Linked DNA regions of Macaca fascicularis. The protein of the gene in region 2 interacts with the protein of the main gene of each other region in a biochemical or structural test. Links are inferred from orthologs where the notes say so. Each region holds a gene or a part of one and is shown on either strand. Other genes may lie near its edges. The genes, in order: ELF3, MED23 and SREBF1.

What was found.
Region 1: the proteins of MED23 (region 2) and ELF3 form a complex in vitro, tested with the Homo sapiens proteins (4 studies listed by BioGRID, with this or other methods). The link is inferred for Macaca fascicularis from reciprocal best matches to the Homo sapiens genes MED23 and ELF3.
Region 3: the proteins of MED23 (region 2) and SREBF1 form a complex in vitro, tested with the Homo sapiens proteins (2 studies listed by BioGRID). The link is inferred for Macaca fascicularis from reciprocal best matches to the Homo sapiens genes MED23 and SREBF1.

The regions. Positions count from the first base shown.
Region 1 is NC_088375.1:59,751,542-59,762,226, forward strand, and holds ELF3 (ETS-related transcription factor Elf-3), read left to right. Parts: upstream 1-4,244; 5' UTR 4,245-4,487; coding exon 4,488-4,779; intron 4,780-5,453; coding exon 5,454-5,675; intron 5,676-5,840; coding exon 5,841-5,933; intron 5,934-6,136; coding exon 6,137-6,256; intron 6,257-6,443; coding exon 6,444-6,533; intron 6,534-6,677; coding exon 6,678-6,794; intron 6,795-7,295; coding exon 7,296-7,491; intron 7,492-8,985; coding exon 8,986-9,100; 3' UTR 9,101-9,769; downstream 9,770-10,685. UniProt on the Homo sapiens protein: Transcriptional activator that binds and transactivates ETS sequences containing the consensus nucleotide core sequence GGA[AT]. Acts synergistically with POU2F3 to transactivate the SPRR2A promoter and with RUNX1 to transactivate the ANGPT1 promoter.
Region 2 is NC_088378.1:35,568,769-35,578,752, forward strand, and holds part of MED23 (mediator of RNA polymerase II transcription subunit 23), read right to left. Parts: intron 9,131-9,984; coding exon 8,885-9,130; intron 7,969-8,884; coding exon 7,826-7,968; intron 6,849-7,825; coding exon 6,674-6,848; intron 6,017-6,673; coding exon 5,853-6,016; intron 3,519-5,852; coding exon 3,394-3,518; intron 2,119-3,393; coding exon 1,913-2,118; intron 1,825-1,912; coding exon 1,644-1,824; intron 64-1,643; coding exon 1-63. UniProt on the Homo sapiens protein: Required for transcriptional activation subsequent to the assembly of the pre-initiation complex. Component of the Mediator complex, a coactivator involved in the regulated transcription of nearly all RNA polymerase II-dependent genes.
Region 3 is NC_088390.1:17,938,209-17,948,785, forward strand, and holds the start of SREBF1 (sterol regulatory element-binding protein 1), read right to left. Parts: upstream 5,866-10,577; 5' UTR 5,697-5,865; coding exon 5,606-5,696; intron 946-5,605; exon of another isoform or gene 726-945; intron 1-725.

The DNA.
Region 1 (10,685 bases), on a different chromosome or scaffold from region 2:
GCCTGCCCAACATAGTGGGATCTCATCTCTACCAAAAAAAAAAAAAAAAAAGGTCGGGCGTGATGGTTCACGCCTGTAATCTCAACACTTTGGGAGGCCAAGGCAGGCAGATCACTTGAGGTCAGAAGTTCAAGACCAGCGTGGCCAACATGGTGAAGCCCCATCTCTACTGCAAAAATTATATATGTACAAAAATTAGCCATGCATGGTGGCGCACACCTGTAGTTCCAGTTACTTGGGAGGTTGAGGCAGGAGAATCACTTGAACCTGGGAGGTGGAGGTTGCAGTGAGCTGAGATCATGCCGCTGCACTCCAGCCTGGGTGACAGCAAGACTTCTATAAAAAAAAAACAAAACACAAAGATAGCTGGGCGTGGTGGTGCATGCCTGTGGTTTCAGCTACTCAGGAGGCTGAGGCAGGAGGATCACTTAAGCCCAAGAGGTCAAGGCCACAGTGAGTCTTGACTGTGCCACTGAACTCCAGCCTGAGTGACAGAGTGAGACCCTGTCTCAAAAATAAAAATAAAAAACTGTCTTACGACTTTTTCTCTACCCTTCTCCCCATCCCCAAGGCTTCACTGGGCCTCACCTGTCTTTGCTCCTGGATGACTATTTGAATGGTGTGGTAATCAGTAGTCTTTTAGAACTTAGCATTAAATTCTGATTTCCTGGCCTCAACATGGGGACCTAAACAGTTAGCAATCTGGGTTTGGGAGTGGGATGAGGGGAGGGTTGGAAGAAATATTTAGTGTGTTTCAGTTGCCTTTCTTTAAATACAGGGCACCCCTGAACCAGCCTCTGTTCGCAGCTCTGCTCTGTCCTTGGCTTTAGGTTATCAAACAGGCTTTCTCCCTCCCCTGCACAAGGGTCGGGAATGAGTCCATTTGCTTTCACTCAGCAAGAGCAAGGGACTAGTGACCAAGTGGTCGACTGGAGAGGCCTCTGCCCCATGCATGGCACACTCAACTTCACCATCAGAGAGGGCGATGTGGGTCACAGGAGAGGGATCTGGAGGCCCAGGATCGGAAGAGACACTCTAGGCACTGGCATTTTGACAGCAAACTCCTGTGGCTCTTTCAGGACTGTTCCTGGCAATATGTTATTGACAAGGACTATTTTAGGGCTATCCAGTTGCCTCCCCCTCTCCCCAACCTGGTGTCTAGCTTATCAGTAGCTATCTTTCCTTGCTCTTTACAAAAATCTATAGCACCCACAGGCCCAGTAATCATGAAAGGTCACTGGAAGGAAAGGCTGGAAGTCCTTCTTCTAACAGCCGTTCTGTGACTCCACTAACTTTGTGGGTTCCCATTTCATAGCACGGGTATCCTGAGCTGTGTAGCCTGCCTCACTCGCCACCTTTGTACCCGACAGGCCTACTGGATGTGGCTGTCCTTTTGTAGGGCATCCTCCCATCCCACAGATGAGGCTGTGCTGCCGTGTGGGCAAGCTCTGTGGGGAGAGGGGAGGCCAGTGGGCTGTTTTTGCCATCACAGAGTACTGGGAAGCCCCTGGCATCCTGCTCCGTAGCTCTCTTGACCACTATCCTGGAATCTTCTCCCCACCCCCATCCCCATGCTTCCAAGGCACTGACCTCAATCCAGTCTTTCCCACTTATCTCAAGCTGCTAGTCTGTAGGGATTCCTTATCTCAGCTCCATGTCACCGGTGAGGAAGCTCCAAGAAGGCAAGGGAGCTGAGAGCCTTCTCATTTTTCTCATACATCCTCCTCTTCACCCCGCCATCCTGGGAGCCCCAGCCAGATACTCTTCAGGGCAGGGAGCACGTGAGCAGCCCTGGGGCTAGAAGCCGGTTCTCCCACATTCCTGGGTGAGGGACTGGGTGGAGGGTGTGCCTGCCTCAGGCTCCTTGGGGGAGGCCCCCTGAAGGGCTGGGGAAAATCCTACTGAGCCCCAGGCTCTCCTGCCTGCACTGTCCCAGTGCGGGGGTGGGGGGTGGGGGTGGGGTTGGGGGGGGAATCCTGGACATTAACTCTCTCCTAGGCACCCAGGCGCTTCAGAGAGGAGGAAGGTAAGAAGCAGATTCTCTGGGCAGGACTTTCTTTGTCCTCAGGCTATAGAGTTAAAGAAAGGAGTATCTGTGGAAGGTGGAGTCACCTTTTGTTTGAGTAACCATTTCACCCACCCTGGCTGAGGGTGGCCAGGAACTCCGCAAGTTATGCATTAATGGAGGTGGGTCACACAGATCCTACATTTTTTTTTTTTTTTGAGATGGAGTGATTACAGGTGTGAGCCACCGGATCCCACATTTTTAGATGCATAAAAATCTATATCTGGGCTAGGCACGGTGGCTCATGCTTGTAATCCCAGTACTTTGGGAGGCCGAGGCAGGCAGATCACAAGGTCAGGAGATCGAGTCCATCCTGACTAACACGGTGAAATCCCATCTCTACTAAAAATACAAAAAGCCGGGTGTGGCGGTGGTCTGTAATCCTGGCTACTCGGGAAGCTGAGGCAGGAGAATTGCTTGAACCCAGGAGGCAGAGGTTGCAGTGAGCAGAGATCGCGCCACTGCACTCCAACCTGGGTGACAGAACGAGATTCCACCTCAAAACAAAATAAACAAACAAAATGCTAGATCTGGAAGCGATCTTAGGGATTATTGAATTCAGACAACCTCATTTTTTATAGATGAGGAAACAAGCGCAGACTCCAAGGGTCTCACCCAAGATGACACAGTTGCAGATGTTGGCTACAAGTCTCCTGCCTCAGCCACCTGTATTACCCCATTCAGGATCTCAAGGAGGGTCTATAAGACCCTGTCCATTGTGTTTCAGGCTGAGTCCATAGAGACAACCACAGACATGGGGGACTCTACCCACAGGGAAGGCAAGGGCTCTGACCATGGAGCTGGGAGGGAAGACTCTGAGTCCTGTGCAGGGAAAGAGCAAGGGTTTCATGTACAACACACCTGCATACCTGGGTGTGAATCTCAGCCCCACCCCTTCACCAACTCTGTGTGGCCTGGGCAAGCCATTCTAAGGGAACCCTCCACGCTGCAACTTTCTTGTCTATAAAATGGGAATAACCATGCATTCTTTACAGGACTTTTTTGGTGTGAGGATTAAATGAGAGAATATGTTGAAAAGTGCTTGGTAAATATATTAATACTATGCGTTCCCTCTTCGTTGAATGACGTGACCCAGATAGTCAGGCTTCTGACCACTAGAGGGCAGCAGAAGGCACCGGAAAACTGGGTCCAGTGAACCAGAGATTGGATGAGTCCAGAGAGCAGGGATGAACTTATCCGTGTGGATTCTGGCAACTCCGGCAGGGAGGGCTTCAGCAGACGCTGAGGGAAGAACTTTCAAGCAGAGCCGGGTCTCTTCAGGAGTGACTGCAGCAACCCTGATGCTTGGATGGAGTTCAGGCAGGTGATGGTAGTGAAGACCTTGCCAACAGATTGAGTGCTGGAGAAGGACCCCTTTAGTGGGGACCCTGGAGCCAAGGCTAGGCTGGCAGGCCCAGCCACCACCAATTAATCCATGAGTATTGCCCAGCGTTGAGCCTGGAGCACCTGCCAGCCCCTGGCCAGAGTCCTGGGTGTTCTTGGAAAAACCCCTAAACCTAGTAACTCCTCTCCCTACTAGGCCTCTTTGTCGCTGAATCGCTGGAATTTAGGGGCCAGCAGCTTTCTGATCCAGGTCAGCCAGAGGTTCACAGTCCCTCACTTTCCCTCCCCCTGCCTGGCCCATCTCTGGCCTGGCCCCTGGGAGGATTTTCCTGGGCCAGAGGGCAGCAGAAAGCACAGATGCCCACCCCAGCAATGTTCCCGCCACCTGCCCAGGCTAGTGCCCTGTGCCCAACCCCAGAGGGTGCGGGATGACAGACTCTGACAATCATTAAACCAGCCGGGCCTGATTTCCCAGCACCGCCTGCTAAGATCCGGGCCAAGTGGCACTGAATATGCAAATCACCTGGGGCCAGGAGCCCAGTCTAAAGGCCAGGAAATCCCCTCCGTCCAATGAGCCACCAGCTCAGGTTACTGCAGGGGATGTACTATAAAGGCCTGAGCTCAGGGAGGAGCTCCCTCCAGGCTCTATTTAGAGCCAGGTAGGGGAACGCAGCGGCCAGACACCTCAGCGCTACCTGGCAGAACTGGATTTCTCTCCCACCTGCGGCTTAAGCCTGACTGCCAGCCTGCCTGCCACAGCCGGACTCCACCACTCCGGTAGGATTCCCTGCCTGTCATTCCCTAGAACAGCTCTTGGGAAACTGCAGAGGGGTCCAGAGGATTTGCGGTTCTGAATCTGCGCACTCCAGTCTAGGATCTCCGAGCAAGAGCGTAGGTGTTCTAAGTGTCGAAGAACAGACAGAGATCGTCTCTGGGAGGGCAGAATGGCCATGACGCTGCCAGTCTGACTCCAGGGCCCCAGAGATCTGAGGAGGGAAGTCCAGCTGGAGGCTTCTGTGGTCCTGCCCTGGTCTGAGATCTTGGAGCCCTTCTTGAAGAGAGGGTGTCTGCAGAGTTGATGATCTTCCTGCCCCTGGGGGCTACTCTTGCCCATCATTGGGCAAAGCAGAGTAGCTGGGAGTGTAAGGAGAGGACCCTTGTCCCCTCACCAACCTCATCCCCTCTCCCCCTACCCACAGGTAGCCTCATGGCTGCAACCTGTGAGATTAGCAACATTTTTAGCAACTACGTCAGTGCGATGTACAGCTCAGAGGACTCCGCCCTGGCCCCTGTTCCCCCTGCTGCCGCCTTTGGGGCCGATGACTTGGTGCTGACCCTGAGCAACCCCCAGATGTCATTGGAGGGTACAGGTGGGTCTCAGCGGGGTGGGATGGGGCACGGAGTGGGAGACAGATCCATCTAAGGGCCTGTTAGACAAATGGGAGAATGGGCAGGGAGGAGGGTCTCTGGACGAATTCCAGGGCTAGAGGCTGAGACGTAGTGACTGAGGTGCTGGGGGTTGTGGGGCTGTGACAGTCAGAGGGAGGTGTCAGATACCAGGACAAGGGTGTTGTGAATGCTACCTCCTGCCCCTACTCTTGGGATGGCTCCAAGGGCTGAGGTGTGAATCCCCAGTGTGCTCTAGGAATGGGGCTGTGTGGGCTGGGAATGGTGGCTCACACCTGTATTCCCAGCACTTTGGGAGGCTGAGCTGGGTGGATCACCTGAGGTCAAGAGTTGGAGACCAGCCTGGCCAACATGGTGAAACCCCGTCTCTACTAAAAATACAAAAATATTTTAGCCCATCTTGGTGGTGGGCACCTGTAAGCCCAGCTACTTGGGAGGCTGACGCAGGAGAATTGCTTGAACCCAGGAGGTGGAGGTTGCAGTGAGGCGAGATGGCGCCATTGCACCCCAGCCTGGGCGACAGGAGCGAAACTCCGTCTCAAAAAACAAACAAACAAACAAACAAAGAAACAAAACAGCGCTGTAAGGTCTGCTGGGTGGTCTGGACTGAGCCTGTTGCCATGCCTGGCCCTTGCAGAGAAGACCAGCTGGTCGGGAGAACAGCCCCAGTTCTGGTCGAAGACACAGGTTCTGGACTGGATCAGCTACCAAGTGGAGAAGAACAAGTACGACGCAAGCGCCATTGACTTCTCACGGTGTGACATGGACGGGGCCACCCTCTGCAATTGTGCCCTTGAGGAGCTGCGTCTGGTCTTTGGGCCTCTGGGGGACCAACTCCATGCCCAGCTGCGAGACCTCAGTGAGTCCAGGCCCCTGGAAGCGGGGGAGCAGCTCCATATGTTGAGCTGAGTTGAGTTCAGTGTGACAGTGGGCAGGCCCTGGAGCTCTGGGCCAGCGGCACAGCCAGAGAGAACTCTTCAGGGAGGGATGAAGGGAGTGTGACCCTTCCTTCCTTCCTTGTCAGCTTCTAGCTCTTCTGATGAGCTCAGTTGGATCATTGAGCTGCTGGAGAAGGATGGCATGGCCTTCCAGGAGGCCCTAGACCCAGGGCCCTTCGGTGAGAACCCGTTTTCTCCTTCCTTCCCCAGCGTGTCTTGTCCCATCCCTGCCCCTCCACAGAGTGCTAGAGATGACCCCCTCCCCAGACTTCTTCCTCCCTCAATTAGAAAAATTGCAGCAGGTCATCAGACCCATGGGCAGCCTCACCTGTCCTGGTCTGGTCCCCTGAGCCCTCTCTGAGTTCTCACCTCCTCTTCCCAGACCAGGGCAGCCCCTTTGCCCAGGAGCTGCTGGACGACAGTCAGCAAGCCAGCCCCTACCACCCCGGCAGCTGTGGCGCAGGAGCCCCCTCCCCCGGCAGCTCTGACGTCTCCACCGCAGGTGAGAGTCTTCTCTGGGCCACAACCTCCCTTCCCCAAAGTGTCCCTGGTTCCCTCCGGCTCCCAGCACCAGAACTCAGGCGTTCTGGCAGGAATAGGAACAGGCTGGGAAGTGTGTCCTGAGAGCCAGCAGCATGGTTCAGCAGAGGGTGGGCCGGCAGGGGACTTACTCTGACCCCACCCCCCAGGGACTGGTGCTTCTCGGAGCTCCCACTCCTCAGACTCCGGTGGAAGTGACGTGGACCTGGATCCCACTGACAGCAAGCTCTTCCCCAGAGGTGAGTCGAGGGAGGTCCCCAAGAGGGTGTCCCATTTAGCAGTGTACAGAGGGCCCGGCTCTTTCTGCAGCCTTTTCCTATAGAGGGGCTGCTCTCCCTAACTCCCCCCTTGCCCTCCTTGATCTTCCACCACCGCCCCCACAGATGGCTTTCCTGACTGCAAGAAGGGGGATCCCAAGCACGGGAAGCGGAAACGAGGTCGGCCCCGAAAGCTGAGCAAAGAGTACTGGGACTGTCTCGAGGGCAAGAAGAGCAAGCACGGTGAGCTTCAGGGGCCCCTGGGTCCTCCCTGCACCGAGGCTGAGCTGCTTCCCCGGGCACTGCGGGTCATTGTGGGTATCCCTCCTGCCGTTCTTTCTGGCCTCCACACGGCCTTTGTTAAGGCTGTGCACAAGCTGGGGGCTCTATGGTATTGGTCACCACCTAATTACAGAGCCTTGCTTGGTGGTCCTGGAGAGGAGGAGGAAATAAGGCTCCCAGTGGGAGGCTCATGGCACTAGAGTCCTGTCCACTGACTCCAGCCCTCTCTGCACTTGGCCACTGTCCTGCCTTCTGGGACACCCTTGGTGTAAGGAGGCAGCTGGTGGGTGCTTACGTGGGCTGAGGAGAAAAGCAGTCACTGCAGTACCCACACAGAGGCACTCTGGAGGGGCTTGCTCCATGCTGTGGCCGAGTCAGCAGTGCGCCGGGGCGGGCAGGGCCAGCTGGCCTTGAGTGAGAGGGGACACCTGGATGGCAAACTGACGGAGGCTGGCCTTGTAGCACCCAGAGGTACCCACCTGTGGGAGTTCATCCGGGACATCCTCATCCACCCAGAGCTCAATGAGGGCCTCATGAAGTGGGAGAATCGGCATGAAGGCGTCTTCAAGTTCCTGCGCTCCGAGGCTGTGGCCCAACTGTGGGGCCAAAAGAAAAAGAACAGCAACATGACCTATGAGAAGCTGAGCCGGGCCATGAGGTGAGCTGGCGGCCAGGACCCTCACCATGCAGCCAGACACGGGGACAGTGCTCACACTCCCACTGCCCTCCTCCTGGATGCCACTTGGCTGCATGCAACAAGGCTGTGTCCTGTAGAGTGAGGACAACATCTGGGTTGGCCTACTTGGTGGATTAAACGACAACAGGGAGGAAGTATTAGCCTGGCGGATGGCAGACACAGTGTGCTTGAGCTAACAGCAACATTTCTTGTATCACCTGTGAGGCTCGTCCTCAGGAAGGCACCTGGAGAGTCGGGAAGTGGGTGGGAGCTGTGCCCACCCAGGGCCTGGCTTTCTCCTCATTGAAGCACTTAGCTTGCTTTTCTCCGGGCCTCAGTTTCCTCCTATGTCCAGGGGTAGACTAGGTCATCTTAAGGTCCCATCCAGCCCTAAAATCATATACTTACTTTCTTTTTTTTTTTTTTTTTTTTTTTTTGAGACAGAGTCTTGCTCTGTGGCCCAGGCTGGAGTGCAGTGGCTCGATTTCGGCTCACTGCAAGCTCCGCCCCCTGGGTTCACGCCATTCTCCTGCCTCAGCCTCCCGAGTAGCTGGGACTACAGGCGCCTGCCACCACGCCCGGCTAGTTTTTTGTATTTTTTTAGTAGAGACGGGGTTTCACGGTGTTAGCCAGGATGGTCTCGATCTCCTGACCTTGTGATCCGCCCGCCTCGGCCTCCCAAAGTGCCGGGATTACAGGCTTGAGCCACCGTGCCCGGCCTTTTTTTCTTTTTTAAATAGAGACAAGGGTCTCTGTGTTGGCCAGGCCAGTCTCAAACCCCTGGTCTCAAATGACTGCCCTGCCTTGGCCTCCCAAAGTGCTGGGATTACAGGTGTGAACCACTGTGCCTGGCCTTTTCTTTCTTCTTCTTTTTTTTTTTTTTTTTTTTTTTTTTTGAGACAGGGTCTCGCTGTGTTGACCAGGCTGGAGTGCAGTGGTACAATCTTGGCTCGCTACAACCTCTGCCTCCCAAGTTCAAGTGATTCTTATGCCTCAGCCTCCCAAGTAGCTGGGATTACAGGCACCTGCCACCATGCCCGGCTAATTTTTGTATTTTAAGTAGAGACGGGGGTTTCACCCTGTTGGCCAGGCTGGTCTTGAATTCCTGACCTCAAGTGATCCGCCCGTCTCGGCCTCCCAAAATGCTGGAATTACAGGCATGAGCCACCGTGCCCAGCTGCCTGGCCTTAAAAATCATGTACTTTAATGATCAGACCCCAGTCATAGCCATAGGATACAAAGAAGCAAGGGCAGAGAGCCATGTGTCCTGGGCACAGTTACTGGCCAGTATAGGGACAGAGCTTCTGCTTACGGGTGGGAAGAACAGAGGAGTTCAGGAAGTGTGAGTCAGGCTCGGCTTAGGCAGATACCAGTGGGCATGGGTCACCTGGGGGTAACGCGGGCTAGGTGGGAGGGCTGGCGACTCGGGGCCCGTTTCCTGCCTAAGCACCTCTGACCATCCTTCTCCCCACCCAGGTACTACTACAAACGGGAGATCCTGGAACGGGTGGATGGCCGGCGACTCGTCTACAAGTTTGGCAAAAACTCAAGTGGCTGGAAGGAGGAAGAGGTTCTCCAGAGTCGGAACTGAGGGTTGGAACTATACCCGGGACCAAACTCACAACCACTTGAGGCCTGCAAACCTTCCTGGGAGGACAGGCAGGCCGGATGGCCCCTCCACTGGGGAATGCTCCCAGCTGTGCTGTGGAGAGAAGCTGAAGTTTTGGTGTATTGTCAGCCATCATCCTGGGACTTGGAGACTATGGCCTCGCCTCCCCACCCTTCTCTTGGAATTACAAGCCCTGGGGTTTGAAGCTGACTGTATAGCTGCAAATGTGTCTCCTTTAATCTGGTGCCTCCTCAAACCCAGTCTCAGACACTAAATACAGACAACACCTTCCTCCTGCAGACACCTGGACTGAGCCAAGGAGGCCTGGGGAGGCCCTAGGGGAGCACCGTAATGGAGAGGACAGAGCAGGGGCTCCAGCACCTTCTTTCTGGACTGGCGTTCATCTCCCTGCTCAGTGCTTGGGCTCCACGGGCAGGGGTCAGAGCACTCCCTAATTTATGTGCTATAAATATGTCAGATGTACATAGAGATCTATTTTTTCTAAAACATTCCCCTCTCCCACAGAGTGCTGGACTGTTCCAGGCTCTCCAGTGGGCTGATGCTGGGACCCTCAGGATGGGACTCCCGGCTCCTTTCTCCTGTGAATGGAGGCAGAGACCTCCAATAAAGTGCCTTCTGGGCTTTTTCTAACCTTTGTCTTAGCTACCTGTGTACTGAAATTTGGGCCTTTGGATCGAATATGGTCAAGAGGTTGGAGGGGAGGAGAATGCAGGTCTACCAGGCTGAGGGGTGAGGGCAAAGGCTGACGAAGAGGGGAGTTACAGATTTCCTGTAGCAGGTTTGGGCTTACAGACACGTGGACTGGGCTGGGAGGCGAACAAAGGAAGCAGGTGAGACTGTCAGAGAATGCTTACAAGACTTCATGCAAGCAAGGACATGAACTCAGAAAACTGAGGTCAGAAACATCCTGCTGTCGCGACACCGCTTGGGTGACCTTGACCTTGACCAAGTCTGCCCTGTTTGGGACTGATTCTTCCTATAAGGCTAGGGTTTGGACCTGATGTTCTCAAGATGTCTAGAATTGCATGGCCGGCCTTGTGGAATAGATGGTTTTGCATTCCAGCCAAGTGGGCTGTAAGCTGTTTATCTGTAATATAAATCCCAGCTTTTGAGTCTGACAAAATCAGAGTTAGGATCTTGTAAAGGAAAAAAAAAACACAAACAAAATGGAGATGAGTACTTGCTGAGAAAGAATGAGGGAAGGAGTTGGCATTTGTTGAAAGTATAGTCTGTTTCTCTTTATTTAATAATTGCAACTATTACTCTAGATTTAGGAGGTACGTGTGCAGGTTTGTTACATGGGTATATTGTGTGATGCTGAGCTTGGGATGCGAATGATCCTGTCACCCAGGTAGCGAGTATAGCACCCATTGAAAGCCTAGTCTTTTTTTTTTTTTTTTTTTTTTTTTTGAGACGGAGTCTCGCTCTGTCACCTAGGCTGGAGTGCAGTGGCCGGATCTCGGCTCACTGCAAGCTCCACCTCCTGGGTTCACGCCATTCTCCTGCCTCAGCCTCCCGAGTAACTGGGACTACAGGCGCCCACCAC
Region 2 (9,984 bases):
TAACAGCAACTGAATTATGAAATAACAAACCTGGGCTTCATTTCCTTCATGACTACGCATGGCCTTTGAAGAACAACAGAAAAATTATATGAAAATGTTCAATCTGTGCGAAACCATGAGGGCCATTTGAAAGCCTAAATTTTAACAAAGTAAAATCTCACCACCATAATTTCCTTAGACGTCTAGTCTATCCCAAACCAACTGTTCAGTATTCCCCAAACATACATGACCTTTCTTGCCTATTTTGGTTTACTATTCCTTCTGCCTGGGATGTCCATCTTTATTTTTAAAAATTTAATCTGTCTTTCACATCTATCACCTAAGCAGATAAGATTTCTCACTGTTTCCTGGAAATATTTTTTCTGCACCTCCACCTTATCCTGTTATCTTATTGATTTATAGACTTACATTATTTCCCCTAAAATATAATAACTACTTTTATATCTATGCTCCACAGCTAAGGGGTTAACGTTAAACTATGCCACTCCAAATATCACCACCATACAATTTTTTTCAACGTGGCATTTTCCAGCCGACTTCAGCGTCTTTTTAAAAAATCTACCGGAAGGCTAGGCGCGGTGGCTCACGCCTGTAATCCCAGCACTTTGGGAGGCCGAGGCGGGCAGATCATGAGGTCAGGAGATTGAGACCATCATCGCTAACATGATGAAACCCCATCTCTACTAAAAATGCAAAAAAGTAGCCAGGCATGGTGGTGGGCGCCTGTAGTCCCAGCTACTTGGGAGGCTGAGGCAAGATAACTATGTGAACCTGGGAGGCAGAGTTTGCAGTGAGCTGAGATCACGCAGCCTGGGTGACAGAGCAAGACTCTGTCTCAAAAAAAAAAAAAAAAAAAGAAAAAAGAAATCTACCAGAAATAGACATCAAAGTCAAGAGAGAGAGAGAAAAAAAAAACATTTGGGGAATGTTTGCTACCAAAGTGTACAGAAATGGTTATATTAGCACTCTGTAAAGAAACACAGTGACTTACTGCTACTACCTGCCTCTAGTGGGAGTTTTGGAGAATCAACTCAAGGTCTAATAGCTCATATTTTTAGAGTATCACAAGGCTAGGACCACATCTATTTTATTTACTTCTATACCTTCTATACATAGAACACAGTTGATATTCAATATGTACTTATTAAATGAATGAATAAGGAAATTGGGGCCGGAAGCAGTGGCTCATGTCTGTAATCTCAGCACTTTGGGAAGCTGAGGAGGGAGGATTGCTTCAGCCCAGGAGTTCGAGACCAGCCTGGGCAACATGGAGAAACTCCATCTCTACAAAAAAGTTAAAAAGAAAAAAAAATTCGGTGGGTATGGTGGCATATGCCTGTAGTCCCAGCTACTCAGGAGCCTGAGGCGGGAGGAGATTGCTTGAGCCCAGGAGATTGAGGCTGCAGTGAGCCATGATCACGCCACTGCACTGGGTGACAGAGTGAGACTCTGTCTCAAGAAACAAAAAACAAAACAAAAAGAAAGAAATTGGAAAATTTGTAGTTCTTTAGGGAAGTGACAGCAATGCTTGATATAGTATAAATTCATTAAATGCTTCAAAGCAATATAGAGCAGATTGGCATAAGATATATTAGTCATACATCTTGATCTAAAAGAGCTTAGAAACATATATTTATTCTTACCAGGCAGAGAATTAATCTGTCCAGTGTAACAATGTTATACTTCCATACCATGTCATTAAGAATTTCAATGCATTTATTGAGTTGCTGACCCCCTGCTGATGTAGAAAACTCATATACCAGAAAATCTGCAAATGTCCTCACATGGGCTACCAAGGCCCTGGCTCCAATTCTCTCTAATACTCTGGAAGGCAGAGAGTAAAACATAAACTCCATTGTTGTATGGATACAACAATTTGCCAAATGGAATGCAAATTAGGTTTTTGACTTACCTATAGCCAATTTGATTAATATGATCTGTTTCCAAGAGCATTTTCCAGAGAAGACAAAGAAAGAGAGGAGGGGAGCCCTGCATAGAGAAGTGGGTAATAATGTCGTTTTCATTGCTCATTGACTTCCACTTCCTATACTCCTCCTCCACATTTTTTTTCAGATTAAAACGGCTTTCCTGAGGCACATTATTTTGTTTGAAGAACGCCTAAAAAGAGGATCAGAAGTTTATTTCATTGGTTATAGTAGAAAGAGCACTGGATATGCAGTTAATAAACCAGCTCTAGGCTTGATTCTGACATTAATAAACTTTAGGTGACCTTGAGCAATTGAGCAATTAAGGCCTGAATTTCTGTATCTGGAAAATACATAAGCTTAACTAGATTATCTCCAAGATTCCTTTTCCTAGATTTCCTAAACTGAAATTATAAGCAAGCCTGAATTTAAAGCTTCTTCAATCATCTGTTGATACTTCCACCAGTCTTAAAGAGAAAAAAAAGAATGAAATGTCTCCACCCTTTGGCTACATATGTTAGTGTCTCTAAGGAAAATCCACTGCACTAGCCCAGTGATTCTCAGAGTGTGGTCCCAACACCAGCAGTATCAGCATCATCTGGTCTTACAAGAAATGCAAAATTCTCAGACCTTATCCCAGATTTACTGAATCAGAAGCTCCGTGGCTGGGGCGCCAGCCATCTATAGCTTAGCAAGCCCTCCAGGTGATTTGGTAAATTTGAAAAACAAATGCTCTAGCCCTAACAGGAGTTACGAAAAATGGACGTTCATCATGCCTAACATTTTTTCTGAAAAGGAGAAGACAGATGAGGTTTGCCTTTCTCCCTACTAGAAAAGCCAGGTTTATAGTTTTTCTGGGAGTAAAAAAAAAAATTCAGTGAAGTGTCATATATGTGCACTCTGTGAAGTTCTATTACATTATACTTCTCCCCATTTCAGTTCTATGAGAGAGAAAAAATTTTCAGGTACTATGTTAATTTTCATGAGATTCTGAAACCATTAACTATTTTTTTCTCTTTTTCAAATTTTTTCACTTTTTTTTCCTCTTCCTACTCTTCCTTCCCTTAAAACTGTTACCTAAGGTGAAACCACAAAAATTAAACTTTTAGAAACATGCCCAGTCCCAGAGTAGGACACAGAACAACTTGAGAGATTTTGGAAGTAACGACAATTTTTTTTTTTTTTCCCCTAGAGATAGGGTCTGGCTCTGTCACCCAGGATGTGCTGCAGTGGTGTGACCATAGTACCCTGTAACCTTAAATTCCTGGGCTCAAGTCATCCCCCTTGCCTCAGCCTCTCAAGCAGTTAGGACTAGAGGCATGTGCTACCATGCCCAGACCCTAAATAATTTTTAAAATAAATAAAAGCTAATTTTATTCAGATGTCACCAAGACTCACTCTAGAACACCACTGTGAATGGGAAGAAGGATTTCATGTGTATTCAATAAGTAATTCAAGACAAAATTACCTGTAGTGGGCCTGGAAAACAGCTCAGGGTGTGTGAAGCCCAATTATGAGGAGTGAAACTCATGATGGTCTGAAGTATGTCTTTACACCAAGTTCCCTGAATTGAATCAGAGCCTGTAAAAAAATCTAAACATAAACAAATAGATGTAATCCAGATATAAGTGATTATGTCCACAACTCATAAAAGATTATGGCAAAAATAATAATTAAGTACACTGAGAATTTCACTGTAGTGCATTCATTGCTTAACTAGTTATATCCAGCTTAGAACCTAAATTTGCTTAGTTTCTGAGTGATCTGGATGATCACATTAGAAAATATGAGAACAATTTATGAAAAGATGACAAAAGACATTTGGAATCTCTTTTTTGAAGTTACAGAGTACCAGTGATAATGGTACAGGTCCACCACTACTGTTCATTTATTTTGACACTGATTTAGTAGTACTTTATTTGGCCAAGGGAACAGAATAAAGAAAGATGTCTTTTTTGGAGAGTGAAATAATTACATAATGCATGTATAAATCTCAGAATTGAAGAGGGTTCTTTACATAAAACAACATAATTTACATAAACGTATTTGAGGTTGCTAAAATCAGTAACTATCTCTTTAAAACATCAGTTCTAAAGTGTGGTCTTCAGACCTCTGAGGGATTCCCCAGTAGCCCTTCAAAGATTCAGTGAGGTCAAATAATAATAAAAAGATATCACTGGCTTTTTTACTAGATATGAGCACTGATGGTGCAAAAGCAATGGTGGTAAAACTGCTGGTCCTAAGCACAAATCAAACAGTGGTGCCAAACTAGATGAAAAGGCTTTGTATTCTCCACCACATGCACTCAGTAAAAGAAAAGTGCCAGTGTCAATCTCGACACTTATTTTTAATATCATATTTAACAAAATGGGAAGCATATGCCTAGTGTTCCAAAGTTTGATGGGTGTCTTGAGGAAAAACACTTGTGTGACTGACTACTGAGTTAAATCAGCTGCATTTTTTTTTTTTGAATTCCAATTTTACTTGAAAGAATGTCTGACAGAAAACTATAGTTAGCTAGACTTAAGTATTTAGCAGACATTTTCTTGAAAATTAACAAAATGAGCTTGTCACTTCAAGGAAAACAAATGATAGTAACTTTTACTAATGATAAAATTTGACCTTTTAAGTAAAAATGGAAATTTTGGAAAACATGTATCTACCACCATGACATGACAGCATTCTAAAACTTAGATTTTTCTAATAAACTTTGCAGTGATATTAACAAATGTAATTTTCTGATACTGTATGATAAAATGTCAACATTTGCTAGATCTACGTAACTCAGTGAACCAATATTTTCAAAATGAATAACTCATGAAGTTACAAAACATGCACGGATTTAAAAATCCACTAAATGTACAAAACAGATGTTCAGATTACAATGTAACAAAGTACGTGAAGTTCACTGATAGGGTTTTGGATTCCACATTGCAACTAACTTTTTTTTTTTTTTTTTGAGACGGAGTCTCGCTCTGTCGCCCAGGCTGGAGTGCAGTGGCGCGATCTCGGCTCACTGCAAGCTCCGCCTCCCGGGTTCACGCCATTCTCCTGCCTCAGCCTCCCGAGTAGCTGGGACTACAGGCGCCCACAACCGCGCCCGGCTAATTTTTTGTATTTTTAGTAGAGACGGGGTTTCACCGTGGTCTCGATCTCCTGACCTTGTGATCTGCCCGTCTTGGCCTCCCAAAGTGCTGGGATTACAGGCGTGAGCCACCGCGCCCGGCGCAACTAACTTTTAAGCAACTATCATTTTTCCATGTGATGTCAAAGAACATTCACAACGATCTGAAAAGGCTATTAAAATACTCCTCTCTTTCTAACCTCATCTGTGTGAGGCCACATTTTTTACTCACTTCAACTAAAACTTCAATGGATTAAATGTCTAAGCAGATGAGAATTCAAACTATGTCTTCCTTTACATCGGGTATTAGAGAAGCAAAAATGTAAAACAATGGTATCTCTTCTCACTAAAGTTTTGCTTTACAAAATATACTTTTTTCCATAACATCATATGCTAACATGTAATGTTTATTACTATTTAAAAACAAATTAATAAATATTTTTAAACTTTATTTTACTAATAGAATAAATATCCATAGATATAATCCATATAAACAGAAACTCTTTGGGAATTTCAATTTTAAGAGTGTAAAGCAGTCTTGAGACCAAAAAGCTTAAAGAATTACTACTTTAAAATTATGGAAGATAACTGAAAACTGATGCTCAACCCAGTTATTAATAGAATGATGTTACACAAAAGAGCTTCCATAAATGAATGAAATAGTGAAGATATCAAAACAACTGGCTTTTTTTGAACAAATGAAAAGTATCTTTTTAGTATGTTATACCCATAGTAATTAGTAGAATCACGGCACACTTTAATTCATCTGTTTTTGTTTGTTTGTAGTCACATAGTCACCGTACCTGTAACATGAGTTGCTCTAGCCAAGGTCAATATCAAGGCTCGGTTCAGTTCTTCAGATTCTGCTGAGAGCACTGTTTTGGGATCACTAAGGAAGCGTGTAAACTGCGGTTGTACCTCTGAGCTACCTAATGCTGTTATAAGCCTGAGAGCAGTGCTCTCGACACTGAAAAGTGGGAGAAAAAAAAGAAATGTAAAAAAATTTCAGAATTATAGAATTAAATCTAATTCTAAGGTTAATTACACTGGAAAAACATGCAATCTATATGACTATCCCTTCTTTAATTAAAAAAACACTTGTGTGTGAGAATAAATGTTGCTTAATTTGTTTAAAAAACCTAATGTGTCCAATTTTATAGTGAAAATCTTGACATTTTTACACATTTGAAAAAGATGACTTGTCGCCTATAGGACTAAAAAATTTCACCTGGAGATACTGCATTTCAAAAATTATATTTTTCTATCTAAAATATATTTTAATTTAAAGCAAAATCAATGTGACATGATACTTTAACCATAATCTGAAGTATACTTAAAAACAGCATTCTAAAGGGCTAAGTTACAACATAATAATAAATACCCTGAAAGTACTAATTCTCAGTCCAAAGATCCTGAAGCAAGAACTCAACTATCTTAATCAGTTTCTATTTAAAAAGCTGGACTCTGCTCCTATAATGGAAACAAAATACTTTAGAAGCAGAGAAGTTTTATGACAGATGAATTAAAAAAAAAAAAAAAAACCTATAAGGCAAAGGATTAAGAACCTCATCTCCAAGAAAGTTTCTAGTAAATCTTAAGGAAAGATGGCCTTCAATGAGCTCACCAAAGATGGAGCTGGTTCTGGTTTGTTTGTGCAACTGCAGCCAAAGTATGAAGATGACTCAGGAGCTGAACTCGGTAATGAGGCTGAATATGATGCATCCGGTAGCTAAACATCTCAAGGAGTGTATGTAAGATCCCCCATGCATGTGATTTGAAAACAGTTGGCAAAAGCTGACCTGGAGGAAAAAGACAATTTAAGGTACCAATTAGTAAAGGCTATGCATTAAAAGATAGTTGAAGAAAGTCACATTGAGTAAAATATAAAGATTTGATTGCGAAAATACACACGCACACACATATATATTCTCCACATTTTCTTATTTTCTACTTTAACAGTAAGGAAAAATTCGGATCCTAACTATAATATCAATTATTTTTTCCTGGGACTTGGCAAGTGATAATCATGTTTATCTGGAAAAACAAAATGAGACAAGATACGAAAAAGCATTAATCTTCTCAATTCTGGTATCTTTTATTTTTAGACAGTTAATGTTCCATACCTTTTGAAGTATGAGGTTCACTTTTTAATACAAAAAACTGTATTTTTACACCTGCCCTTGTTTCCTCCTACCCCCGAGAAAGTTTTATTCAACAATCAGTTATCTAGGAAGACTTACTATGGTTAAAATTAAAACTATGCTGTATTCATGAAAAGCTGGAATTATGATGAATCAGAAAAACACTTCTATATTAGAAAGTATCTATTATTTTAGAACTACATAATAAATAACAGACATTATAATGTATTTTCTGCAATCTAAGAGAATTCCTTCTTTACTGCCAGTCAGCCTTTTGTATGCACTGGAGGACAGCATTACTGCCTCAGGCAGAATCCATTTGCATGAGGACAGGGACCATGTCTATCCTGCTCACCACATCCCAGGCACCTAGCACATTAACCTTTTCTTACCACTTTACCTAAAAATGCAACAACCCCCCCCTCCCACCCTCAAACTTCCTATTCCTTTTTGCTTTATTTTTCTCTATAACATGTATCACCTGACATATTATATATTTCATTTATTTAACGTCCCCCTCCATAAGCTCCATCATGGTGGTGACTTGTTCTCTGCTGTGTCCCCGGAACTAGAAAAGTACCTTTAGAGTTAATGAATGGATTAATAGTTATAAACACCAGAAAGTCCTGTCTTACTGATAAATCCTTTGATGCCCAAAGACTCTATTTCCATATAGACCAATAAACGACTGTAAGTTTCCACTAGGGCTGGAGCCAAGGCCACACTGGACTTTGCATGAGCAAGTTTTATCACCCTGGTTGCAATGCTGTGAATAAGGCTGAGGAGAAAAAAGGGAAGAAAATAAAAATCCATATTTTTGACATAAACATAGGCGCTACTCTACTTAGAAGTAACTTAGTATAATTTGAACTTAAATGATTCAAATGAAGTTGATTCATTTAATGTGTTTAAATTGTGCAGGACACTTGGTAAGGATGCACTGCACAACCTGAGACTCATTCCGATTTCCATGGTGCTTTCAATATGCACACGGATCCCCCTGCTCATGGGAAAACAAACTTTGGGTTCAACTTATAAGAGGAAGCTTGAGAGATTTTGGTTACTCAAATGATGCATCAAAATACATTTGGGAAATTAAATAACTTCTGTCACAGATTTACTTTAACACATCATAGCTAAGACCCAAATGTTAGGTTCTAATGAGGCTTTGCTCAAATCTGTTATACATGCAAGTGAAGCACATGTGTAATTCTATCACAATGGTTACCACTTGAAAAAGAGCATAGCTCTACCAGAACTGATGCTCCACTTGGAGGCCCACAGACAAATTCTCTTAGGCCTATACGGTGGTTGTTTTAAATTTGAGCCAATACTTAAAGGCTGAAAGACTAGTAATAAAAAATCTGGATTTCTAGCCCTTCTCAAAAACGTTGGAAGCTCTAGCTACACTAGTCCTCCTTCTTACTATCTACAAAAAACGAAAAAAAAAAGTGCAAAAAATTTTTATAATGCTTATCTCTCATGGAGAGATTATGACAATTACTTTCTTTGGGTTTGTTTATCCTAGAATTCCTATAATAAAAAATATTTACTTTTGTAATAAAATAAAGCTATTTTTTTCCCTAAATGTACCTGACTATGAAAAATTACACACATAAAACCATGAAATAAAGGTTTATACTATACTCGTATCAATTCCCTGACATGGAATCAAATTAATAAAAAGAACATACCTCATTTTGGCATGAACTGTCAGTGAATCCAGGAGGTTCATGGGTAAGGGGGTAATAGATCCTGAAGCCATACAGTTTGTTCCAGGGAGAGGTATCCTCATAATTCCATTTCCATAAATAGTTTCTACCAGAGCTCCCATGGGTAATGTAAAACATTCTGAATTTGTAGAGTATGCATTACACAATAGAGCAATCTTATAGTCATTCATCTGTAAACTTTTATTTCTCAGACTCTGCTGCAGGAACCTAAAAATTCATGTTCCATTAAAAAGAAAAAACGAAAATTACTTCCATAATGTTAATTTGTATTTTTTTAAAAGTTCAATTTTATGCAATTATTTATTAATGCTATCTTTGTTCCTATACGTATTCGAGTTTCTGTGTGAAACGTATAGTGGGAATACACATAGAAGTTGAGGTAGTGTTTCAGAAGAAAAATAATTTTAAATAAACAATTAATGGGTATCTGTTAAGTATGCACTACATATACAGCCACCATATTAGGCTAAGTTTCAGAGACCGAAGAAATAACTCACAAGTCTGTGAACCAGGTTTCTACTTATTATCTGTCTGTATAAACACAACAGTGTCTTCATTACAGATATCACTTTGAAAAGGTGGTTAAGGGGTATCTCATAAAATGAAAACCAAATGAAATATCAAGTCTGACTCCCCTGCCATATCCTATGAAGAGATGTGGCAGTCTTTTTCAGAAGTTCTAGGTGGGAAGTTAGGCTATTCCTAGCACCCTTGACTACAATACAATACAATACTATCTAAGAATGGTATCTTCTTTGAGTCATCACAACTTTGGAAGAGATATTAAGGGGCATGCCAGCCAGATCAGCTCAATCATTCCTGGCAGCCCACAGATGAATATCTCAGTCAGCTCATGCTCAAGTTCCAAGCACTTGAGAAATTCTGAAACATTTTTACATTTATGAAACTTGATATGCTTTCATTATATTAATAACTTTATAACATATTCAACTGAAGATCAGCCTTGAAAAATTTTTTGTAAAAATCTATACATAAAAGCAAGACTAATCTTGTAGCTGTTTCCTGATATAGGTGCTGGTCAGATTCTCTTGCTATGACAT
Region 3 (10,577 bases), on a different chromosome or scaffold from region 2:
GCCTCGGCCTCTCAAAAGTGCTGGGATTACAGGTGTGAGCCACCGCACCCAGCCGAGACAAGGGAACTTTATCTCGGAGCACTGGGGAGCCATGAATGGTTGGAGACCAGGGGAGTTCAGTGCTGTGAGCTGGGGCAGTGACCAGTCTAGAGCTGTGTTTTCTAAGGAGTGCCAGTGCTTGGTGGGACTAGGGAGAGAAGTGGGGTGTGAAATATCCTGGGGAGAGGTATGGTGTGGGAGAGCGGGCCCCCAGTGTGCCCTACTAGGGCTGACCTGGACCCAGCAAACAGCCAGACACATGACTAGAAGCAAGGGCCTGTCGTGGCTGGGCTGGGCATGCTGGGAGGGACATCAGGGCGGGAGAACTCTGAGAACGGACTACTCAGGGTACGGAGACACCCAGAAGGGCTTTCTGGGAAGCAGCCTCTGACCGGGCTTGGCAGACATCTGGGGTCCGACAGACAAAGACCAGACATGACGGGGTCCAGGCAGAGGAAAGAGACCCCCGAGGCCCCCTTCCAGGCTCTCGGCCAGAACTCTGTTTCCATCTGCCTCTTCTGCACTCATAAGCTTGTGCAAAATCAGATCAATTAATCCTCAGCAGGGAGGTGAAGACTGCCACAGGCTTAATAATAATCCCCAACACAGGTACAGGGCCACTCTCCCAATCCATCCTTCCCCGACTGCCGCAAGGTACTCTGAGGTGCAGGACGAGACAGGCTCACCTGAGGTCTCGGTGCAGAGGCAGGACTCAAACCCAGGGGCACTCTACAGCCAGGGCAGTGCCTTCACCCACAGACGCAAGGACTCACGGAGGCCGCTCCATCCCCAAATCCATTCACAAGAGTTTGGCCATGGCAGGCAGCAGGACCGGATGGGGCCCAAGGCCCTTCGCTGGTTCACCAGGGCTGGTTCCCAGTCTGATGACTCAAACATTGCTCTGGACTGGGATGGGGAGGTAGTCACATAGCCTCTGATCCCTCTGTAACCCACCTCCAGGCCCCCAGAGTAGCCCCATGTGGAGCAGCCCCCCTGAACCCCTCATCCCCATTCTTTTTTTTTTTTTTTGAGATGGAGTCTCGCTCTGTTGCCCAGGCTGGAGTGCAGTGGCTGGATCTCAGGTCACTGCAAGCTCCGCCTCTCGGGTTCACGCCATTCTCCTGCCTCAGCCTCCCGAGTAGCTGGGACTACAGGTGCCTGCCACCTCGCCGGCGAATTTTTTTGTATTTTTAGTAGAGACAGTGTTTCACCGTGTTAGCCAGGATGGTCTCGATCTCCTGACCTCGTGATCCGCCCACCTCGGCCTCCCAAAGTGCTGGGATTACAGGCTTGAGCCACCACGCCCAGCCTCATCCCCATTCTTAGGAGCCCAGTGATTAAGAGCTTAAGAGCTAGGCTCTGGAGCCCACAGCCTGGGTTTGAATCCTGGCTCTGCCATCATCTGGCTGTGTGATCTCAGGCAAGTCACTTAACCTCTCTGGTCCTCGAGGCCATCATCTTCATCATATGTCTACCTACTTGGGGTTGTCAGGGGATTAAGTGGGATCATCAACACAGTGTCTGGAGCACAGTAAGTACTCAATTAGTGTTTTCTGTTCACATTACAATCCTCCACCTGAGCAGCCAGAGGGAGCTGAAGCTCAGCGTGCCCCTGCTCTGACCCCCGGCCATCCCCACATCCAGCCCAGCTCTGCACTCTGGCACTCAAGGCTGTCCTGGCCCCCTCTTATCCCTCATGTCTCTCAAGGGACCTGGCATTTCCACCCCCAAATCTTCAGACCTTATCAAACCTGCTAAGCTCCACACCTGGTAGAAGAAGCTTCAAAAGCAGGCTCAACCTCTGACCAGCAATTCCCCTCCCAGAACCTCATCCTAGGAACACAGTGAAGATCTGGGCAAAGACTGGCCTCAGTGTCCACTGCAGCACAGTTTATAAAGATAAAACAACCTAGGTGCCCATTGACAGGGGATCAGGTGGGTAAATGAAGGAACCTGACTGTCATCTGGCTGATGACATGGAACCAAGCAGAATCCAATCAGCTGTGAACCAATGGACCCTATTTTAATTTATAAAAATGCAGATCCTGGCCAGGCACGGTGGCTCATGCCTGTAATCCCAGCACTTTGGGAGGCCGAGGCGGGCAGATCACCTGAGGTTGGGAGTTCGAGATCAGCCTGACCAACATGGAGAAACCTAGTCTCTACTAAAAATACAAAATTAACTAGGCGTGGTGGTGCATGCCTGTAATCCCAGCTACTGGGGAGGCCGAGGCAGGAGAATCGTGTGAACCTGGGAGGCGGACGTTGCAGTGAGCTGAGATCATGCCATTGCACTCCAGCCTGGGCAACAGGAGCGAAACTCCATCTCAAAAAAAAAAAAAAATGCAGATCTGGCCTGGCACGGTGGCTCACGCCTGTAACCCCAGCACTTTGGGAGGCCGAGGTGGGCAGATCACGAGGTCAGGAGATTGAGACCATCCTGGCTAACATGGTGAAACCCCGTCTCTACTAAAAATACAAAAAATTAGCTGGGCATGGTGGCGGGCACCTGTAGTCCCAGCTACTCGGGAGGCTGAGGCAGGAGAACTGTTTGAATCTGGGAGGTGGAGCTTGTGGTGAGCCGAGATCACACCACTGCACTCCAGCCTGGGTGAAAGAGCGAGACTCCGTCTCAAATAAAAACAACCCCCCCCAAAAAAACAGATCCATAGCTGCCTGGGGCTGGGAGCAGGAACGGGAAGTGACTAAACAAGCATGAGGGATCTCACTGTGAGATAAAAATGTTCTACAGCTAGTAATGGTCACACAACTCAGAAAGTTAACTAAAAATCATTGAACGATATACTTAAAATTGATAAATTTTGTGATACATAAAGTATATCTCAATAAAGTTGTTTTAAAAAATTGATGAAGGCCGGGCATGGTTGCTTACTCCTGTAATCCCAGCACTTTTGAGAGGCCAAGGTGGGCAGATCACCTGAGCTCAGGAGTTCGAGACCAGCCTGGCCAACATGGTGAAACCCCATCTCTACTAAAAATACAAAAATTAACCAGGCGTGATGGCACACGACTGTAATCCCGGCTACCTGGGAGCTGGAGAATCTCTTGGACCTGGGAGGCAGAGGTTGCAGTGAGCTGAGATCATGCCACTGCACTCCAGCCTGGGCAAAAGAGTGAGACCCTGTCTCCAAAAAAAAAAAAAAGTCTATGAAGAGTGTGCAGCCATTCCCCAAACACACACACACACACAGACAGAGAGAGAGAGAGAAAAAAAAAGAGAAGAAAAGCTCTTTCACATAATTAGCAGAGCTTATCTCTGGGTGGTAGGTTTAAAGTTTTTTTTTTTTTTTGAGACAGAATCTCACTCTGTCACCCAGGCTGAGTGCAATGGCACGGTTATAGCTCACTGCAGCCTCTAAATCCAGGCTCAAGCAATCCTCCCACTTCAGCCTCCAGAGTAGCTGAGACTATAGGCACGTGTCACCCACACCCAGCTAATTTTTTATTTTTGTAGAGACAGGATTTTGTCATGTTGCCCAGACTGGTCTCAAACTCCCGCACACAAGTCATCCTCTTGCCTCGACTTCCCAAAGTGCTGGGATTATAGGCATGAGCCACCACCCCTGGTCTAAAGATTTTATTTTCTTCTTTTTGCTCACTTGTGCTTTCTAATTTTTCTACACTGAAAAAAAGATGTGTAATTGGGAAGACAAACAGGAAGTTTGAATAAAAACTGAAAAATCCTCTACTGAAGTGGGTAAAGCTGAGGCTTGCCTAGTGAGAAGGGGCTGCCCCCACTCTCTCATAGACTAGACCTTGGGCCACATGGCTGCCCATGCCTGGCCTTTGGGTCTGGAGAGGCAGTGTTTTTATTCATGAGTCAGTAAGAAAGGTCTGTTTCAGACCTGTGGCCCAGACCCGATTCTGTTGTCCAACTTGCCCATGAAGGGAGGGTTTGCATCCTCATTTTTCTGGAGGTGGAAACTAAGGTTCAGAGGGTGAGAGGGCTTGAGCAGGATGATAAAGGAAATGAGGAGTGTCCAGGTTCAACCTCTGACCCCAAAGCCCATGTCCTCCTGGCTTGGTCACGTTGCCTCTTGGACTACACTCACTGGGCCCAGGGATGTGGAACTGGTAGTTAAGCCCAGATCTCCCTAGGGCTTGGGATTTCAGGGTTCATCACTCCAGAGGGCAGTGAAGGACAACCCCTCATGCCAGGGATAGGGGAGGCTGTTTTGGAAAAGCCTCACAATCAGGGCCTCTCCTCTGGGGTCCTCCCCTAGCCCAGCCCCAGTGGGAAGGGCTGGGAAGCTCCTGGGGCAGGCAACCAGCTGGGTGATCTGCAAGGCTGCAGTAGGGCAGGAGTGGGGGTGGCATAGATGTATCTATTTTGCCAACCCCAGGGTGGCCACGGGTTCCATGGACATGTCCATTCAGGCTGTGAGTCTAGGCATCTTGTTCCTGCGACCTTGGCCTCAGTTTCCTCATCAACCAAGTGCAACTTAGCCAGTGTTGTTAAAACTCCTGCACAGAAACCATGGAGGCAGTTTGCTAGGGGCTTCCTTTTGCTCTGTCTACAAAATGGAAGCAACGGGCCTCCTAATTGGCACTTGGTGCCACCGTTGGCCCCTTCTCATCACAGCCAGAGTGGCGCTCCAAAGATGGAAGCCGGTGCCACTGTCCTGCTCTGCCCTTTCCCTGGCCGACCAAGTCGGTTCGCGTCCTCCTCCTCCCTGACCTCACTCCCTTGCAAGCCTCTAACTCCTCACACTTACGCCCTGCCTCGAGGCCTTTGCCCTTCCCTTGCCGTGGCCTGGAAAACATCTTTCCCTGCTGGTCCTGGGGGTGACCCTCAGGTCTCAGCCTAGAAGTCCTTCACTGCTCTGCCCAAAGTAGCCACATCCCTGCCCTGCCCTCCCCGCCAGCCTCGCTCCACCCAAGGTGCAACTAAATACCCGTTTGGTTTCCTGGGGGATTTTTGTGTTCCCGAAAGAGGGGGTGCCCAGGTCTGTCTGTGCCTAAGACGGGGCCTGGCATTCAGTGGATGTCAGTGAATGGGTGCGGAGGCGATTCCCGTCGCAGACCTGGTGAACCCCACCAGAGGCGGGGGAAGGGCGCGAGGCAGCGCCAGTGCGCATGCGTAAGAGCTCCGACGCTGAGCTGAACTCTCGGGCCGGAGGGAATGACCGTGAGTAACCTCGCAATTACGTCACGGCTGGGGCTGGGGCGGAGCTTCGGCGACGCCCGGGTCCCCAGCTCCAGCCGTGGCCACCACAGGGCTGAAGAGTCACCGGTCGGGCGGCACCCGGCCTGGGACGCGTAGGGGCGCACGTGTCCCGGCCCGGAGTCGCCAAGGGACCCCGGCCCGGCCCAAGAGCCCTCACCTCCGAGCTCGCGGCCCGAGACGCTAGGGCGGGAACCAGGGAGGCTCGGCTAGGCCCGGGACACCGAGGCGCACGGCACGCAGCTCAGAGACGCCGGGAAGTCCAGCGCGAGCACAGCACGGAGCTGGCGCCCGCGGGGGAGACAAAGGACAGGGAGGCACCTGCGCGCCCCCCACTCGCGTCACCCGGCGCGGCTTCGAGCCCTGCCCGCCCTGACGCACCTTCGATGTCGGTCAGCAGCGCCGCGTCCAGATCGCACGGCCCGCCCAGCGCCTGCTCCAAAGCCGCCTCGCTGAAGGGCGGCTCGTCCATGGCGCAGCCGCCTCCTCCGGGAGGCCCGCCGGGCCCGCCGCCTCGTACGGTCCTTCCCAGGGAGCGCCGCCGCGGCCCCGGCTCGCAGTTGCCGCCGCCGCTCCGCGCGTTTGTGTCCTGCCCTGGCCTCGGAGGCGGCCCGGCGCCCGCGAAAAGTTCCACGGAAACTGGGTTCCCCCTGCTGCGGCTCCGCTGGGCGGTCGAGGCGGAGGCGGGGCCTTTCGGGAAAGCCCCGCCCTCCCAGATAGACGGCCCCGCCCCACCTTGAAAGAAGCGGGGGACCCCTGATCCCCGGTCTGCGCCACAAATCTCCCCTCAGCCGGCCCCTCCTCCAGAGCGCCCTCCAGTCATTCATTTTATCCAGCCTCGCGCACAATGGCAGCGGCTTCTGGCCGGCTGCTGCAGGAACGCGGGCAAGCCAAGCCCCCTCTCTGGTCCTCTGTTTCTCCAGCACCAAGCAAGAGAGCTGAGTGGAAGCCCCAGGCCTGGGCCCATCCCAAACCTCATTTCCTCACTTCCTAGATTTGACTCTTTACCACAGGACAGGGCAGGATCCAAGTTATAGGGGTCTCAGGCCTGCTGTGTTGTGAGCAGGCCTGATGTAACTGCTGGGCCAGTTACATCACTCTGCCTCAATTTTCCTCATTTGTAACATTGGCCTAATGATGCTTCCTCACGGGTTGGCTGGGAGGCTAGTGACAATGTGGAGGGGAGCATGACCTGTGAGATCAGCCTGCCCCCTCTCTGCAAAAAAACCAGAAGATTGGCCTCTTGAGGACAGCAGTGGCCAAAGAAAGAGGCTGGAATTTCCTATCGTCTTCATTTGGTTTCCTCCCAGATCCAGCTGTAGGGATAGGATACCAGTGGGCCCAGTGCAGCTCCTGAAGGAGGAAGCCAGTACCCAAGGAAGACTGGCCCCAGGACTGTCTGACCCCAGATTTGGTACTTGTTCCCGGGAGCAGTCAGGATAGGGGCCACAAGGAAGAGGTGGCTGTGCTTTAGATCAGAGCCAGGCTGCCCTGGATCATGACAAACTGGGACTAGGTCAGAGCAGGCAGCCCTGTTGAGAAGGGGGCTGGAAACCAAACCTGGTTCTGTGGCCTAGGGACAGAGCCAGGTTGGGGCAGGAAGGAGGGATGGGGTCCCAATGAGGTGGGTTGAAATAAACCGGAATTAACATTCAGGTATCTGAATGTGATAAGGCAGTGAGCTCCCTGTCCCCAGAGGTATGCAAGCAGAGAGAAGCACCCTTGGTGGAGGCCAGCCCAGGAAACTCATCAGGGGCCTGGGCCTCAGGCCTTCCTGACCCCAGACCTTCATGAGTCAAGCCATCCTGCGGACGGCCTTGCTCAGACTCCAGATATAGCCTGTCTGACCACGCCCTAAGCAGGAGTAAAATTCATGATGCATTTTAGAAGGGGTGTGTGGGGGAGAGAAGCCACAGAGCCCAAGTCCCTGGGGCTCAGCCTGGACATCCAGCTCCCTTTGTTCCTCTCCCAGAAGTGGCTGCAGTGGAAAATTACGCAGAATAGGGGAGCCAGAAGTCATAGGGGTCACCAAACCACATCTCCCCAAGTAGCTCTGCTCAAGGGTCCACCCAGGACCCACTCCCTCCAGATGAACAACTGCTGGAGAACACAGAGAACAAAGCTGGCTTCTCCTCAGTGCCCTACCCCCACCAACACTCTGGAGGCGGCAGGAAGCCGATGATTTCCCTGAAAATTTCAACAGCCCTTCCCAGGGAGGGGGTGGGATAGGAAGTACTGGGTGAAGCCTAAATACCATTTTCTTCAGAGCTAGGCAGGTGATCTGGGTTTGCACCTGCTTGCTGCGTGACCTGGATCCACTTACCTCACTTCTGAGTCTCAGCTACTGGATCTGTAAAATGGGAATAACCCTTCCTGCAGTCACTGCAGAGGCAGGGAGGGTGCTTTGGAGTCATCATCACAACAGATCTGCCTCACTGTTTTTTGTTTTGTTTCTTGTTTTGAGACAAAGGCTCACTCTGTTGCCCAGGCTGGAGTGCAGCGGCATGATCTCGGCTCACTGCAACCTCCACCTCCTGGGTTCAAGCAATTCTCCTGTCTCAGCCTCCTGAGTAACTGGGATTACAGGCACATGCCACCATGCCAGGCTAATTTTTGTAGTTGTAGTAGAGACAGGGTTTCACCATTTTGGCCAGGCTGGTCTTGAACTCCTGACCTCAGGTAATCCACCTGCCTCGGTCCCCCAAAGTGCTGGGATTGCAAGTGTGAGTCACTGCACCTGGCTATCACTGTTTTTTGTTTGTTTGTTTGTTTTTTGTTGTTGTTATTGTTTTTGAGACAGTCTCGCTCTGTTTCCCAGGCTGGAGTGCAGTGGCACAATCTCGGCTCACTGCAACCTCGGCCTCCCGGGTTCAAGCAATTCTCTTCCCTCAGCCTCCTGAGTAGATGGGATTACAGTCATGCACTACCAAGCCTGGCTAATTTTTGTATTTTTAGTAGAGATGGGGTTTTGTCTTGTTGGCCAGACTGGTTTCAGACTCCTGGCCTCCAGTAATCTACCCACCTCAGCTTCCCAAAGGGCTCGGATTACAGACGTGAGCTACTGCACCCAAACCGCCTCACCATTTTTTAAATGGGTTACCACATATGTAAATAGAATAGCTCAATAAATATTCACTCCATAACTGCAGGAGTTAGGGTAAAGGGAAAGAAGGCAAGACAACGTCAACAGGAGACCTGCACCCCAGAAAATCCAACCCCCATGGGGCACAGTCCAACGTGGGGGTGGGAAGAATTTTGCCTGGAATTACCGGGGCAACCCTCAAGGTGAGGGTAGGGGAAAACAGAAGTGGGGATCCATTTTTCAGGGGGAACATGCTTGTCTTGGCGGTTTCTCCCCTCAAAGATCCTGAGACCTCCAAGCAAGACCCTCGGGCCCCGCTTGGCTGGGGAGCGTTGAGCACGCCCAAGGAACGTGGACACAAGCCCCTCTGTACTGGTGTGTCTGTCGGGTCAGGGATCCAGCCTGGCCCACGGTGACCCGGGCGGGCAGGTTCCGCTCAGTCTACTCGCTGAGCGCTGGCAGGGTGCTCAATGCTGTTTAAACCCAGTCACTCCTCTCGACAGCCTCAGGCGGTTGAGGCTGTTACCATCCCATTTTACAGCTGAGTAAATTGAGGCACGCGGAGTGGGGCGGTGAAGCGACTTGCTCAGGACGTCACAGCACTGCTGCCCCTGATTTTGTCGGGGCTGGAGGCAGCCGGAGAGCCGGGCCGGCTCAGCACACGCGCCGTCCAGGGCAGCGGGTGGAGACCCAGGGGAGCCGGGGCGCGGAGCCAGACCAGCCCCGCCCCCGCGGGTCCGGCGCAGCCAATGGGCACCCGGCCCGGAGTGGGGTGACGCGGCGTCAGCGCGTACTCCCGGGAGCCCAGCCCTGGGTCACATGCGCTGCGCCCGCTCGACCCGGGAGGCAGGGAGGGGCGGCGGGGACAGGCTGAGCTCAGCCCCCAGGCCAGACACCTGGCCGGGACGACCGCCAGGTGAGCGTCGCGGGCACGGAAGGGCTAACACGGGACAGCCCCACCCGGGACTGCGTGGCGCGCCCAGAGCAGAGAATTCCTCCCAGGTCACCCAGCCCGGCCCCTGCCCAACCTCGGCGTTGCCATCTGGGAGATAGGGGTTCGCATCTCCCCGCTTCCTCCAAGTCTCTTAGAGACTGAGAGGCAGCTTCTGTGGGTTTCGGGCCTTTTCGGGCAGGCGTCCAGCGCGGGCAGGGCCTCTTCCCAGGCCACTCGTCCTGTCCAGACATGCCCTCGGTGCCCGGAGCTCAGCGGTGGATGGCAAGGCGGGCACTGGGCAGAAAGACTGGATTGTCCACCCTAGCCATTGCCTAGGCTACTGAAACCCCTCCCCCCACTCCCAGAGCCCCCTGCCACCCTGCCTGGCCCTGCATATCCTTCACTGCTGTGGGAGCCAAGCTGGGACCTGCCCAGGTTATGGCGGAGGGACCAGGCTAGGAGAAGAGACTGCTCAGCGCCTGAGTCTCCCCTCCCCCACGTCTTCATCTGTATATAACGGGGTGAGATGACTGTTGACATGGATGATTCTGGTCGTAGATGATGCTCCTGGTCTCATTCCAGCTTGGGCTCTGTGGTGAGCTGGGCAAGTTCTGTCCAGCCCTCTCTGAGCCTCCATGGCCAGCTTTGCCCCTGGAGGCTCACACCCACGTGGGCACCTGCAGGCTTATCATGAGTCATTGAACACACCCTCTACAAAAGAGCTACTTGAACCCCAAAGATTGCTGCACAGTGAGGAGTGTAGCTCACAAAGGCTGAGGAAGAGTGATACCTGTTCTCTGGGGGGTAACTGGCTGTTTGAGGAGAGGCCAATTACATACTGAAAGGGGTGAGTCTAGCTGGCAGCAGGGAGAGTGAGGAAATCCATGTAATAAGGCCCCTGTGGGCATTGGGTTTACTACCCACTACACCAGTTTACGGATCAGGATCAGGAGAGTAAAGAACAGAGTGAGACGGTGACTTACCCAACACCTACAGTTAAGCCTGCAACCCCAGGTAGGCATGGGGTGGACAGGAAATGGCACCAGACAATGGAGTCCACTCAATTTCCGGAAGCATCCTGCTTACTCCCTAGTGCTGAGAGTAGAGATTTTGCATCCTGGAATGTTGAGGGCCTGGGCTTGGAGGCCCTAGACAGACTCATCTGGGGTCTGCTCCAAAAGCTCTGACAGGGGCTCCTGTAAAATAAACTGATAGAATTTCTGGGTGGGTCATGCAAACCTAATAAGGTCTCAGCTTCTGCCATTCCCCTGCCCCCAGGACCCAAAAGAGACCCTTTTCTTGGAAAACAGGTGGGTTGGAAAAGAATCCCTCTTTCT